Linked DNA regions of Arabidopsis thaliana. The protein of the gene in region 1 interacts with the protein of each later gene in a pairwise test. Each region holds a gene or a part of one and is shown on either strand. Other genes may lie near its edges.

Region 1 (5,022 bases):
GGAGGAGAATGGACAAGCAAAGCGTCGTTTATGACGTGGACGATGCATGACATAATTTACGTGGCGAGACACCATTGGATACCGTGTTTATTCGCGGCCGGAGTTATGTTTTTTACGGTTGTGGAGTACACGTTCCAGATGACTCCTGCGAGTTCTCAGCCGTTTGATCTAGGATTTGTGGCCACACGTTATCTGCATAGCATCTTGGCATCTTCACCCAATCTTAACACCGTTTTAGCCGCTTTAAACACGGTAAACACATCTTTTATGACACTATCCTCAAATTCCTCGCATTATGATATTCACATGCAACAAAGAGAGACTAGTTAAATTCGACTTAATTTTGCATTTTTTTTAATCAATTGTTTTGGTTGGGGGTGTGGACAGATTTTGGTAGGGATGCAAACAACGTATATTGGATGTACATGGGCAGTGGAAGGACGACCACGGGCAACCATCGCGGCTTTATTCATGTTCACTTGTCGTGGCATTCTCGGCTACTCTACTCAGCTCCCTCGCCCTCAGGTTCAATTCCACATCTAAATCTTTCTCTCTGTTTTCTTATTGATCGATACCTTGTCGTGGACATGTGATTCCCTTGGTAACTACCGTATAAAAAAGCAGTTTATATTAGTGTCTCCAAATAATTTGACAATATGGACTCTTTCTTATATGCAAAAAGAATGTTCTCAAAGGGCTGCTAATTTGTACTCCCTTGATTTTAGCATAAATCTTGTTTCATTTACTTTTACTTTTGTGTTGTAACATGGGTTTATGTTCGTCTTGTCTATATTAATATGTTCAATATTTTTTTAAAAGAACGATTAAGGTACTTATTTAACCCTTTTTACAGGAATTTTTAGGATCAGGAGTAGATTATCCGGTCGGAAACGTGTCGTTCTTCCTCTTCTACTCAGGTCACGTCGCCGGATCGATGATCGCATCGTTGGACATGAAGAGAATGCAGAGGTTTAGGCTGGCGATGGTTTTTGACATTCTCAATGTATTGCAATCCATCAGGCTGCTTGGTACGAGAGGACACTACACGATTGATATTGCGGTTGGAGTTGGCGCTGGGATTCTCTTTGACTCATTGGCCGGGAAGTACGAAGAGATGAGCAAGAGACATTTACGGAATACTCGTTGTAGTTTGATTTCAAAAGACTCTCTAGTCACTTAAATCTATTTTTTTTTTCCGGCAAAATAATTGTATATTACACTAAATCTATTTCTTCTTAAAACGTTTAGAAACACATTTAGTTGAAGTTTAATGATTTTAATTTAGTTTCTATTAAATGGTTCTAATTGAATACCATTCGTTGAACCTAATTACTAAATGTGTACGTGATTGTGAAGCTGCCTCATTGAGTTTTTTAAATGGTATATGTGTATATTAGGTCTTCGTATAACTAATTTATGCAAAGTTCTTGGTTGAAAAGTTCTCCAATATAGTAGTCTTTATATTAATTTGTTAGTTCAACTAATAAATAGATCAACAAGTGAACATTTATAATATTGGGTGGCTAAAAACCCCCAGATAATTTAATTGTGAAGCTCTTATCTAACACATTTATTGTATTCAAATACTGATATTAACATATGTGTATATATATTTACATAAATAAAAATTAGTTCTATTCATCAGAATCGGATAACTCGAGGGGACAAGAGCCATCATCAACATTAGCATATGGGTTGAAATGTTCTGAATTTGTATCCATGCATCCAGGAACTAGATCCAAGTTGCATCTATCTCCCTGAAATTTGTTCATACATTTTAAAATTTAGTGTATTCAAATTTTATAGGACATAGTTTGGCGAGAACTTACTCCTTCGACCGTCAAGTTGGCGATCATCGTGCAACGAGTTGGAACAACGTTCGAGTCAGGAAATATTGCTCTTTCGCAGGCTCCATCTTGGCTCAACTCGTTCGCTAGACCCTTTTTGCACCAATTGATAAATGATAAGTTTTGCATATTGCATATATAGATGATAAGTAGTTGTGAAAATTTGAAAAGAAATTCATTACATACCTCATTGAAGAACTCAATAGGTTTGTTTTGCCATCGCTTGGGGACTTGAAACTGAAGTCTGTATGGACCGTCCCAATCGACACCATTAGTGAATGAGAATATCAAATTCACAGCTGATAATGATTCATAGGAAAGATAAAAGTGTCAAATTAATACAAATAACTATTTGGTCACAAACCATGATTTGATTTTTGATTATAAAAGAAAACGAACCATGCTTAGGAATGCAAATCTGCATAGTGTATATCGGAGAATCGGCTTTGCCTCGATCTTTCTTAAGCATTGCTCTTGGCTCCCCACCACACATGATTGGTTGGTTAAATCCTCCTGCACCATTTAGTAACCAATTGAATATTTTCATTTTTTTTGTTGTTATAAGTACTCCATAAGACTGGTCTATGTAGCTTTCTACTAATTTAATTTGGAAATGAAAATATATCACTTGCAAGCCACACTTAGAAATAATTACTTGACTAAACCCCACGATTAGACTGCTAACTATAAGTACTTGTACGAAAACAATTATACAGTATGTGGTAGCCCCATTAAACAGCCGCCCTAACCGCGCCAACTCGTTGGGACAACTCGGAATACAAGTTAATTTAATTAGATGTTTTATGAGAAACTCACCGTTGAAAGCAACCCCATAGTCTTCGTTAAGAGTGAGTTTGCTTGCAGCTGGATTATAGAAAAGTTTCAACTTTTCACCCTAATCCAAAAAAGTTTTGTAAGAAGTTAATTGAGTTAAAGAGCCTCAACACTTGAAAATAGCTAGAGAAACTTACTGAGGTTGGTGGAAGACCATTCATGGTTTTCCAGTACACAGGAGCAGTACCCATCTCGAACATGGCCCATGAAGGAAGCTTGTATCTATCAAAATAATCAATCATGAACTATGTTTATTATTATATTCATATAGTTATATCGACCAAAGCAACACGATGAACTAAAATAAAGACAGACTCTTTGATCTCTTCGAGAGGTGCAAGAGTCGTGGCAACAGCTTTAACTTGGAGATCAAGTTTCTTCCTCGGAAATCTCCTTAGTATTGGACCAATCCTTGAACTGTACACTGTATCATTCATTAGCTTTAGTTTTAACTCGTTATATAGCTAGTATTATAGATTGACATAAATGAATCAAGAATTTGAGTGAAAATACTTACAAAAACTACGTTTCGAGGATAAAGGCTGCGACGGAGAGGCGAAAACGGCGGAGGTATTAGCGGCAGCAGCCATCGATACCGATCTAATGAGAAACCTTTTTTGGGGATGAAAGAAGGAGAAAAATATGTAAGTAATTGATATATGGCTTCAAGATAAGGATTTTTCACACCACAAATACAAATATCTACTATAGAATTTTTTTCTTACACATACAAACAAAGACTTAAGTATCATAGAGACAAATATCAAATTTGAAATGTAAGGTCTATGGAACATGTCCCTTTCACTCTTGGGATTTTTCCTTTAATGAATAAGAAAGAATGGGCTCAAAACCAAAATAAGCCCATTCAAGAGATCAATGAGCCCAATTGTTTGAAAGCAAATATTGGGGTGATTTGTTAACTTTCCAAGAAAAACACGGGCTTTTCAGCAAAACAACTCGAAAAATTGAAGAGAAGATCCGGGTTTTAGATAACTGCCCCAAATTGGCAATCCAAATCCCTAAAACCATCTTATCCTCTCTTTCCAAATCTAGCCGCAATGTAGTCCCGTGAACCACAAAAAAGATGAGATCTTGCACGTCTCTGTCATCACAACTAGTACTACTAATTGTGAAGCATACAAAAAAGACCGACCCTTATTTATACACGCACACATATTAACATATTTATACTACTAGTATATAAGTTAAGGGTTTAAGCCTCTTCTCTTCCTTCTTTCTCTTAGCCATCACATCGATAATGGCTTCTCTTCTAACAAAACCCAAACCCGTTTTCCTCTGTTCACCATCGTTATCTCCAAGAACTTTGAACACAGCAACACCGTCATTGAATTTCACCAGAATTTCATTCACCCATCACCAAAAGCTTGCTCCTTTCAAGCCTCCTAGTCTCGTTGTTGCATTCTCTGAAAAGGGTTTGAAGAGAGATGTCACCACAGCTGCTGCAGCGACGGAGGGAGATTACAGAAGGATAATGTTATCTGATGTGTTGGTGAAGAAGAAGGAAAAAGTAGTTTGGTGGGAGAGAGAATGGAAAGCTATGGACTTTGGAGCTGTTGCTGTCGTTTTGTCTATGCATTTGCTTAGTCTTTTGGCTCCGTTTCAATTCAATTGGAGAGCTGTTTCGGTTGCTTTTGGGCTTTATATCGTTACAGGTCTTCTGGGGATTACTCTGTCTTTCCATAGGAATCTTTCTCATAAAGCCTTCAAGCTACCTAAATGGCTTGAGTACTTGTTTGCTTATTGTGGAGCTCAAGCTCTTCAGGTGATTTGATTTGATGATAATGTAGTTTTTGTTGAATGTGTAATTTTGTCACAAATTGTGTGATTGATGTTTGTGTGTTGTTTTCTTCAGGGAAACCCAATTGATTGGGTGAGTACACATAGGTACCATCATCAGTTTTGTGATTCAGACAGAGACCCTCATAGCCCACTTGATGGGTTTTGGTTCAGTCACATGAATTGGATGTTTGATACCAATACAATCACCCAAAGGGTAACGATTTGCTTCTTCTCTTTTTTCATATTAATATTTTTCTGAAAACTGTATTCTAAAACTCTGTTTTGTATATGATGTTTAAAGTGTGGAGAGCCTAATAATGTTGGGGACTTGGAGAAGCAGCCATTCTATCGATTCCTTCGAACCACCTACATTTTGCATCCGCTGGCTCTAGCGGTTGCTTTATACGCAATGGGTGGCTTTCCATTCATCGTTTGGGGAATGGTATGTTCTGTGGCTAGTCTTGCATTTTGAATCTATTCACTGTTAATTTTTCATAACTAGCTGATAGGATTATGATGTGTTTTAGCTCGGCCAAAACAA
Region 2 (5,589 bases), on another chromosome or scaffold:
CTTGTAGTAGGAATAAGCCCTAATATGAATAAGCTAAATCCTATGGAACCTCCCTGCTTATCCTGCATATTATATATACTTTATAGTGTGTTTCTTCTCACACATTCAAGAGAGGGTTATGTAATATATACCTTGTATTTTTGTTTGTATCGTCTTGAAACAGAGGCGTGCGCAAGCAACAAATTATGGCCTACAATATATGGTTCAATGGAAGAGTTCCCTGAAGAACAGTTTTTGCTCGGTTTGGAACAACGACCAGGCGGTGTATCCCCATCGTTGTAACCTCCTATAGAGAATATATTAGCCTCGTTGATCGTGGTCCATAGTTTGACATGGTTCCCAAACTCTCTGAAGCAAACATCTGCATAAGTAGTAAAGTCTTTGCTGCAATGGCAAATAACATCAACTTTTGTTATTTTATCTTAAACTACAAAATCTGTAAGAGAAAATAAGTAACGCCTACATCATTCTGTGGTTGAGCCATCCTCCATATTCATCCTCCAGAGACTGAGGATGATCATAGTGGTAGAGTGTAACATGTGGTTCAATTCCTGTAGTAAGTCTACTTAAACTCTAGTTAATACGAACTAAACCTAACTCTTGAGTCCTACCGTGGATATGAAGATAGGTCTTACCGTGGCTTACTAACTCTTGGATGAGGTTCTTGTAGAACTGTAGACCCTTTTGGTTAACAGGCCCTCTTCCATCTAATCAGATAATAAATTACGAACTGATCATAAATTTGATCCCTTCACTGAGCTATAACATGTTTAAGAAAACTTACTAGGTATTAGCCTAGACCAAGAGATGGAGAATCTGAAAGCATCTAAGTTAGTGTCCACCATCAACTTCACATCATCCTGTATAAATTCATAATGAAACTCAGGCTTGATGAATAAAACCTCATGATGTAGTCAGAGAAACAGAGAAGCTAAAGAACCTTGTACTTGTGATACCCATCACATGCTATATCTCCGTTACCTTGGTCACCTGCAATGTTAGAAACAAGAATCAAAGCACAAGAGTGACAAACTCTAATACTAATAATAGTTTGTGTTAAAATGAAAAGCTTACGAGAGTGACAAAGAGTGTCCCACAGGCTAGGTTTCCTTCCGTCTTCTGCAGCAGCTCCTTCCCACTAGTAGAGACCAAACATTTGGTTCAGTTTTGTTCAAAAGTTAAGAAAAAAGAAGCTCATAAATTGGTTCCAAACCTGATAAGCAGAAGTGCCGGCTCCAAAGACGAATCCCTCAGGGTAGTCAGATCTGCTGAAAACGTCGCTGCATTTCCCGGAGAAAGCAAAAGCAAGAAAAATGGCAAACAGAGCCAAAATCTGTTCCATTTCTCACACACACACACACTCTTTTCTTCGTTCCATGTTAGAATAAGTAAGTCCAGTAGCCATTTGCGTACCCGCTAGATATAGTTGTGACGTAGACATTAATGATGATGCAATTTAGATAAGAAACATATTGGGAAGTGTGTTGAAATGAATTATGGTCTTTATTTACTATGATAAGAAACAGATTACGCTGGATCGGAGCCCAGGTCTGACCAACCCAAATAACGAAAGAAACTAGGGGACCGGAAAACCATGCGGCTATGCAGCCCCAGCCCCACATATATGAGGGCTTTTGGGCCAAAAAAATATTTTTGGACTTTTTGTTACATTTCAATTTTTTTTGGGTATTCCTAAATTTTTGTTAATAGTATGGACTATGATATAATAACTTTTGAGGTATTAAAGTAAAAATATTTGGTCCTCTTATAAAGAAAAAAATATTTTATTTCATAAAACTTAATAATTATTACAAAGCATAAAATATTAAACATACATTATCTTAAAATTTTAAAATAGATGTGAAAAAAACGGAATAACGATAAGTTTTTCTGTTGATTGTTGCAAATTTCAATATACGAATACTTATAACGATGTTTTGAATTGAAATTTTCTACGAATACTTATAACGATATATATAGTAAAAGAGAAATTTCTTAACTTATAATTAAACACCATTAAGTAATGTATGGAGGATTAACAAAATTGGATATAAAACAAGAATGTATAATGTTCATTTTGACGCCATTTCTTCTTCTTCATATTTTACAATTTACACTAAACATTTTCCCAAATTCAGCTCATAATCAAGTGCGCCTCATATTTTCGCCAAATTCATCTAATTGAAAACCCAAATTTCAATATACTCATGTCTTGTGAAGCAAACAAATCTCTTATTTCGCATTTCTTTGGGCTTCGCAACATTATTGGGCTTTGTTTGGGGCCCATTTAGAATGAAGAAGTACTTTAGTTAAAAACTCAGATAAACCTAGCCGTCGTCACCGTCACCGTCTCCGTCGAAATCCCCATTACTTACGACACCGCGAGCTCTCAATCTTCTTCTTACACTCTATTGCTTGTGTTTCCTCTTCACTACAACAGTTTCGTGTACCAAAGGCAGTTCTTTCTTTTGTCCCAAGGTAAGCTTTGTGATTCCTTGAGACTGTGTTGATGAAGCACAGACTCAGAGACTTTTGGTTTATGATTCTCTTTATCTTTGTGACATGAAGCAGAGCTAAAGAAAACATGGGAATACCAGATGCAGCTCAAGACTTGTCGACAGAGATGGAAGTTGATGCTTTTAGAAGAATCTTCCCTCTTCGTTTCTTTGAGCGTCATCTCTCTGAATCTCTTCGTCCTGATGGAAGACAACTTGGAAAAGCTAGAGACACCATTGTTAATCTTGGTATAAACAATGAAGATTGATTCTTTTTAGTTTTTATCAAATTAAAAATGTCAACTTTATAGTGGTTTCTTGTGTTTGTTGTAGGACTTGTTTCAACTGCTGATGGGTCTGCTCTTGCTAAGATTGGTTCCACTGTAAGAACCCGCCTTAGTCGTTTCGATAGTATTCACATGATCAGCAATGTTTTGCTTACATAGTTGTTTCGTGTTTATAGACTATGCTTGCTGCTATTAGAATGGAAGTTATGACTCCTTCTACGGACTCTCCAGACGAAGGATGCATAGGTTGTTATCTCGTTGTCTTGTTCTCTATGTGGTTTGTTGTTCTTCTTTGGTGATTCATTTTGTGATTCCTTTTTGGTAGCTATTGAGTTCCATATGCCTCCAATTTGTTCTCCGACTGTTCGTCCTGGAAGACCAGCCGAAGCTGCTCCCGTTATTTCAAAGCGTTTGTCTGATACTATTTTAAGGTGTGTTTTGGTTTGATCTTTCTCTTTATATTTTCTCTGTCTCATTGAGCATCAAATACAATGTTCCTTCTAAAAGTGTTTCTTTTTTGTTCTAGTTCTGGTATGATTGATCTTAAAGAACTGTGTCTAGTTAGTGGAAAAGCTGCTTGGATGGGTTATCTGGTGAGTACTCGTTGGTCTTATATCGGTGCTTGTCCGTCAGTTGATTCACATCTATTCTTCTAGGGATCTTTCTCTTTGATATTTAACTGAGTTCTCTAGCATATATATGAACATTGTTGCTCTCTGAAATTTCTCATAGGACATATATTGCCTGGATGCTGATGGTGCTCTCTTTGATGCTGCTCTGCTTGCTGCTGTCGCAGCCTTCTCCAATCGTAAGTTCTTCTCTGTTCTCATCCTTTAGTTGGTTTCACAGCTCCTTTAGAGAACCTTTGAATAAAGCTGATTCTCAAGTTTATCAAATCCATTTCGAATATGAGTAAAAAGAGCAAGCCTTAGAGAACACTTAAATCTTGCTGAGTGAGTCATACCTGAGTAATATTCTTCCCTGCACAATAGCGGTTTGTTCAGAAGTTGTGTGATTGGTGTTCCGAGACAGAAGAATTTTTCCTCTGATGCATAAAATATCTTTTATATTGCAGTGCAAATTCCAATTGTTGCTCTGAATGACAATGGAAGAATAGTTGCCGTCACTGGAGAAAAAGATCAAGACAATGCTTTGATCACCGAGAAAGAAGCAGTGAACAAGGAGAAGAGAAAACTTACGCTTAAGAACATTCCTTTCTCTTTAACTTGCATACTTCACAAGAACTACATCTTAGCAGATCCAACAACCGAAGAAGAATCGATCATGGACACTCTTGTGACTGTTGTTTTGGATTCCTCGGATCAAATGGTTTCTTTCTACAAATCAGGAGGAGCTGCTCTCGCCTATTCATCAGCCATCAAGGTGAGAGTTTTAGCTTTCTCTTAGGTTAATCCACCACTTGATTTACACCGTTTTTTGTTTCTTATAAAGTTGCTATGCGCAGAGCTGTGTCGAGTTAGCAAGGAAGAGAGCAAAGGAGCTTAAGCAGATATTGGGAGAGATGGATATCGACTAATTTATCAGATGGAACGATTCCATAACATTGTTGAAATTTTGTGTTACATATTTTAATCAGATCACCAAGTTACCCATTTAGAGGCAAAGGAAGAAGCTCTTCACCATTTTTGTTCGATTGTGTTACGGTTTTGTTTGTCATATAACGACTTTAATTTAGTGCTAGTGTAAGTGTGAGATTATATTATCTCCATTTCAAACGAACCGAAATGTGCGTAAGCTGATTAATTTTACAAATGTTCAAATCAAAAGCAATTAACAAGTTTGTTTGTTGACCACCATCGCAAGTTTGTTTTTGATTAGGCTTTTCTGAATTTTTTTATGTTATAATGTAAGGGTATGTTAAAATATTATTCCATTTAAAAGAGGCATTGTAACAAGAACCATTCTGAATCTGTGAAAGAAATATTCCATACTAGACGAGGAAAGTCCTCGAGAGACTAATTAAATACTAAATAACATAAAATCATTCTGAATCTGTGGAAGAATCATATGCTAAGCGAGGAACTTCCTCCAAAGACATGAGACTCTCAGTGTGATTATGATAATAGCGGACCTCTCTTACATTTTTATGATTAAGCTTCCAGAATTCTTCGTCACCAATTCCTTCATATAATCATATTTGACCCTCCTTACTAGGGTTCTTTTTGGATCATAATATAAGACATAAATTGCTTCAGATGTTGTTGCAGCTGTATAAATAAACTCACCAGTGGATCATGAGTAATACCTCTCAGCCCCCAAGAAACTTTCCAGATCGGGTCACGTTGAGGAAATTTTCTAAGTGACCGTTCTTGTTTCTCTTCATCCTCCAAAACCCAAAATCATTTACCAGAGACGTCGTCAGAGCAAACCCATGCAAATTTTCCTTCGTAGTTGAGGAAAAATTTGCAAAGTAAATTATCAGCCGCTGATTTTCTTATTGTGTTGAACTTTTCGTACCTCACATCGAAGCTCATAAGGACTTTCTCAACTTCAGAACTATCATCGACTCCAAAAGGTATACTCGCTTCATAATACACTTCCCCGTTGATACATATACTTTGTATTAGTCCCTCGGCGGATAGAGGGACATGTTTAGGGGTATTTTGTGTCACTCTCCATGATTCTTGAGGTCCCAAAGTAAAAACAAGAGGATCTTGGTATCTAGAGCATGAGATGCACAAGACTTTATACTTACCCTCGACCGGATCATATCCTAAAGAGCTACATTCAAATGCGACTTTTGGTAAGGTAACATGTTGTCTCATGATTGGATTCCAAACTACAAT

The links. Proteins that work in one complex are often made in the same cells at the same time.
Region 2: the proteins of PIFI (region 1) and AT1G60080 interact in a two-hybrid assay, tested with the Arabidopsis thaliana proteins (one large-scale study listed by BioGRID).

What each region holds. Positions count from the first base shown.
Region 1 is NC_003074.8:5,355,148-5,360,169, forward strand, and holds PIFI (post-illumination chlorophyll fluorescence increase), read right to left. Parts: upstream 3,450-5,022; 5' UTR 3,272-3,449; coding exon 3,199-3,271; intron 3,122-3,198; exon of another isoform or gene 3,119-3,121; coding exon of another isoform or gene 3,106-3,118; coding exon 2,997-3,105; exon of another isoform or gene 2,924-2,996; coding exon of another isoform or gene 2,904-2,923; coding exon 2,819-2,903; intron 2,743-2,818; coding exon 2,664-2,742; intron 2,361-2,663; coding exon 2,247-2,360; intron 2,147-2,246; coding exon 2,034-2,146; intron 1,941-2,033; coding exon 1,830-1,940; coding exon of another isoform or gene 1,826-1,829; intron 1,758-1,825; coding exon 1,635-1,757; 3' UTR 1,440-1,634; downstream 1-1,439. Other genes in the region: AT3G15830 (phosphatidic acid phosphatase-related / PAP2-like protein), read left to right, coding at 1-252, 388-525, 854-1,180; FAD5 (fatty acid desaturase 5), read left to right, coding at 3,940-4,464, 4,555-4,695, 4,783-4,923.
Region 2 is NC_003070.9:22,151,335-22,156,923, reverse strand, and holds AT1G60080 (3'-5'-exoribonuclease family protein), read left to right. Parts: upstream 1-2,280; 5' UTR 2,281-2,478; intron 2,479-2,571; 5' UTR 2,572-2,584; coding exon 2,585-2,744; intron 2,745-2,828; coding exon 2,829-2,878; intron 2,879-2,958; coding exon 2,959-3,028; intron 3,029-3,107; coding exon 3,108-3,213; intron 3,214-3,308; coding exon 3,309-3,375; intron 3,376-3,514; coding exon 3,515-3,590; intron 3,591-3,857; coding exon 3,858-4,165; intron 4,166-4,247; coding exon 4,248-4,319; 3' UTR 4,320-4,694; downstream 4,695-5,589. Other genes in the region: BGLU4 (beta glucosidase 4), read right to left, coding at 1-62, 132-384, 464-551, 636-707, 785-860, 941-990, 1,075-1,138, 1,214-1,342.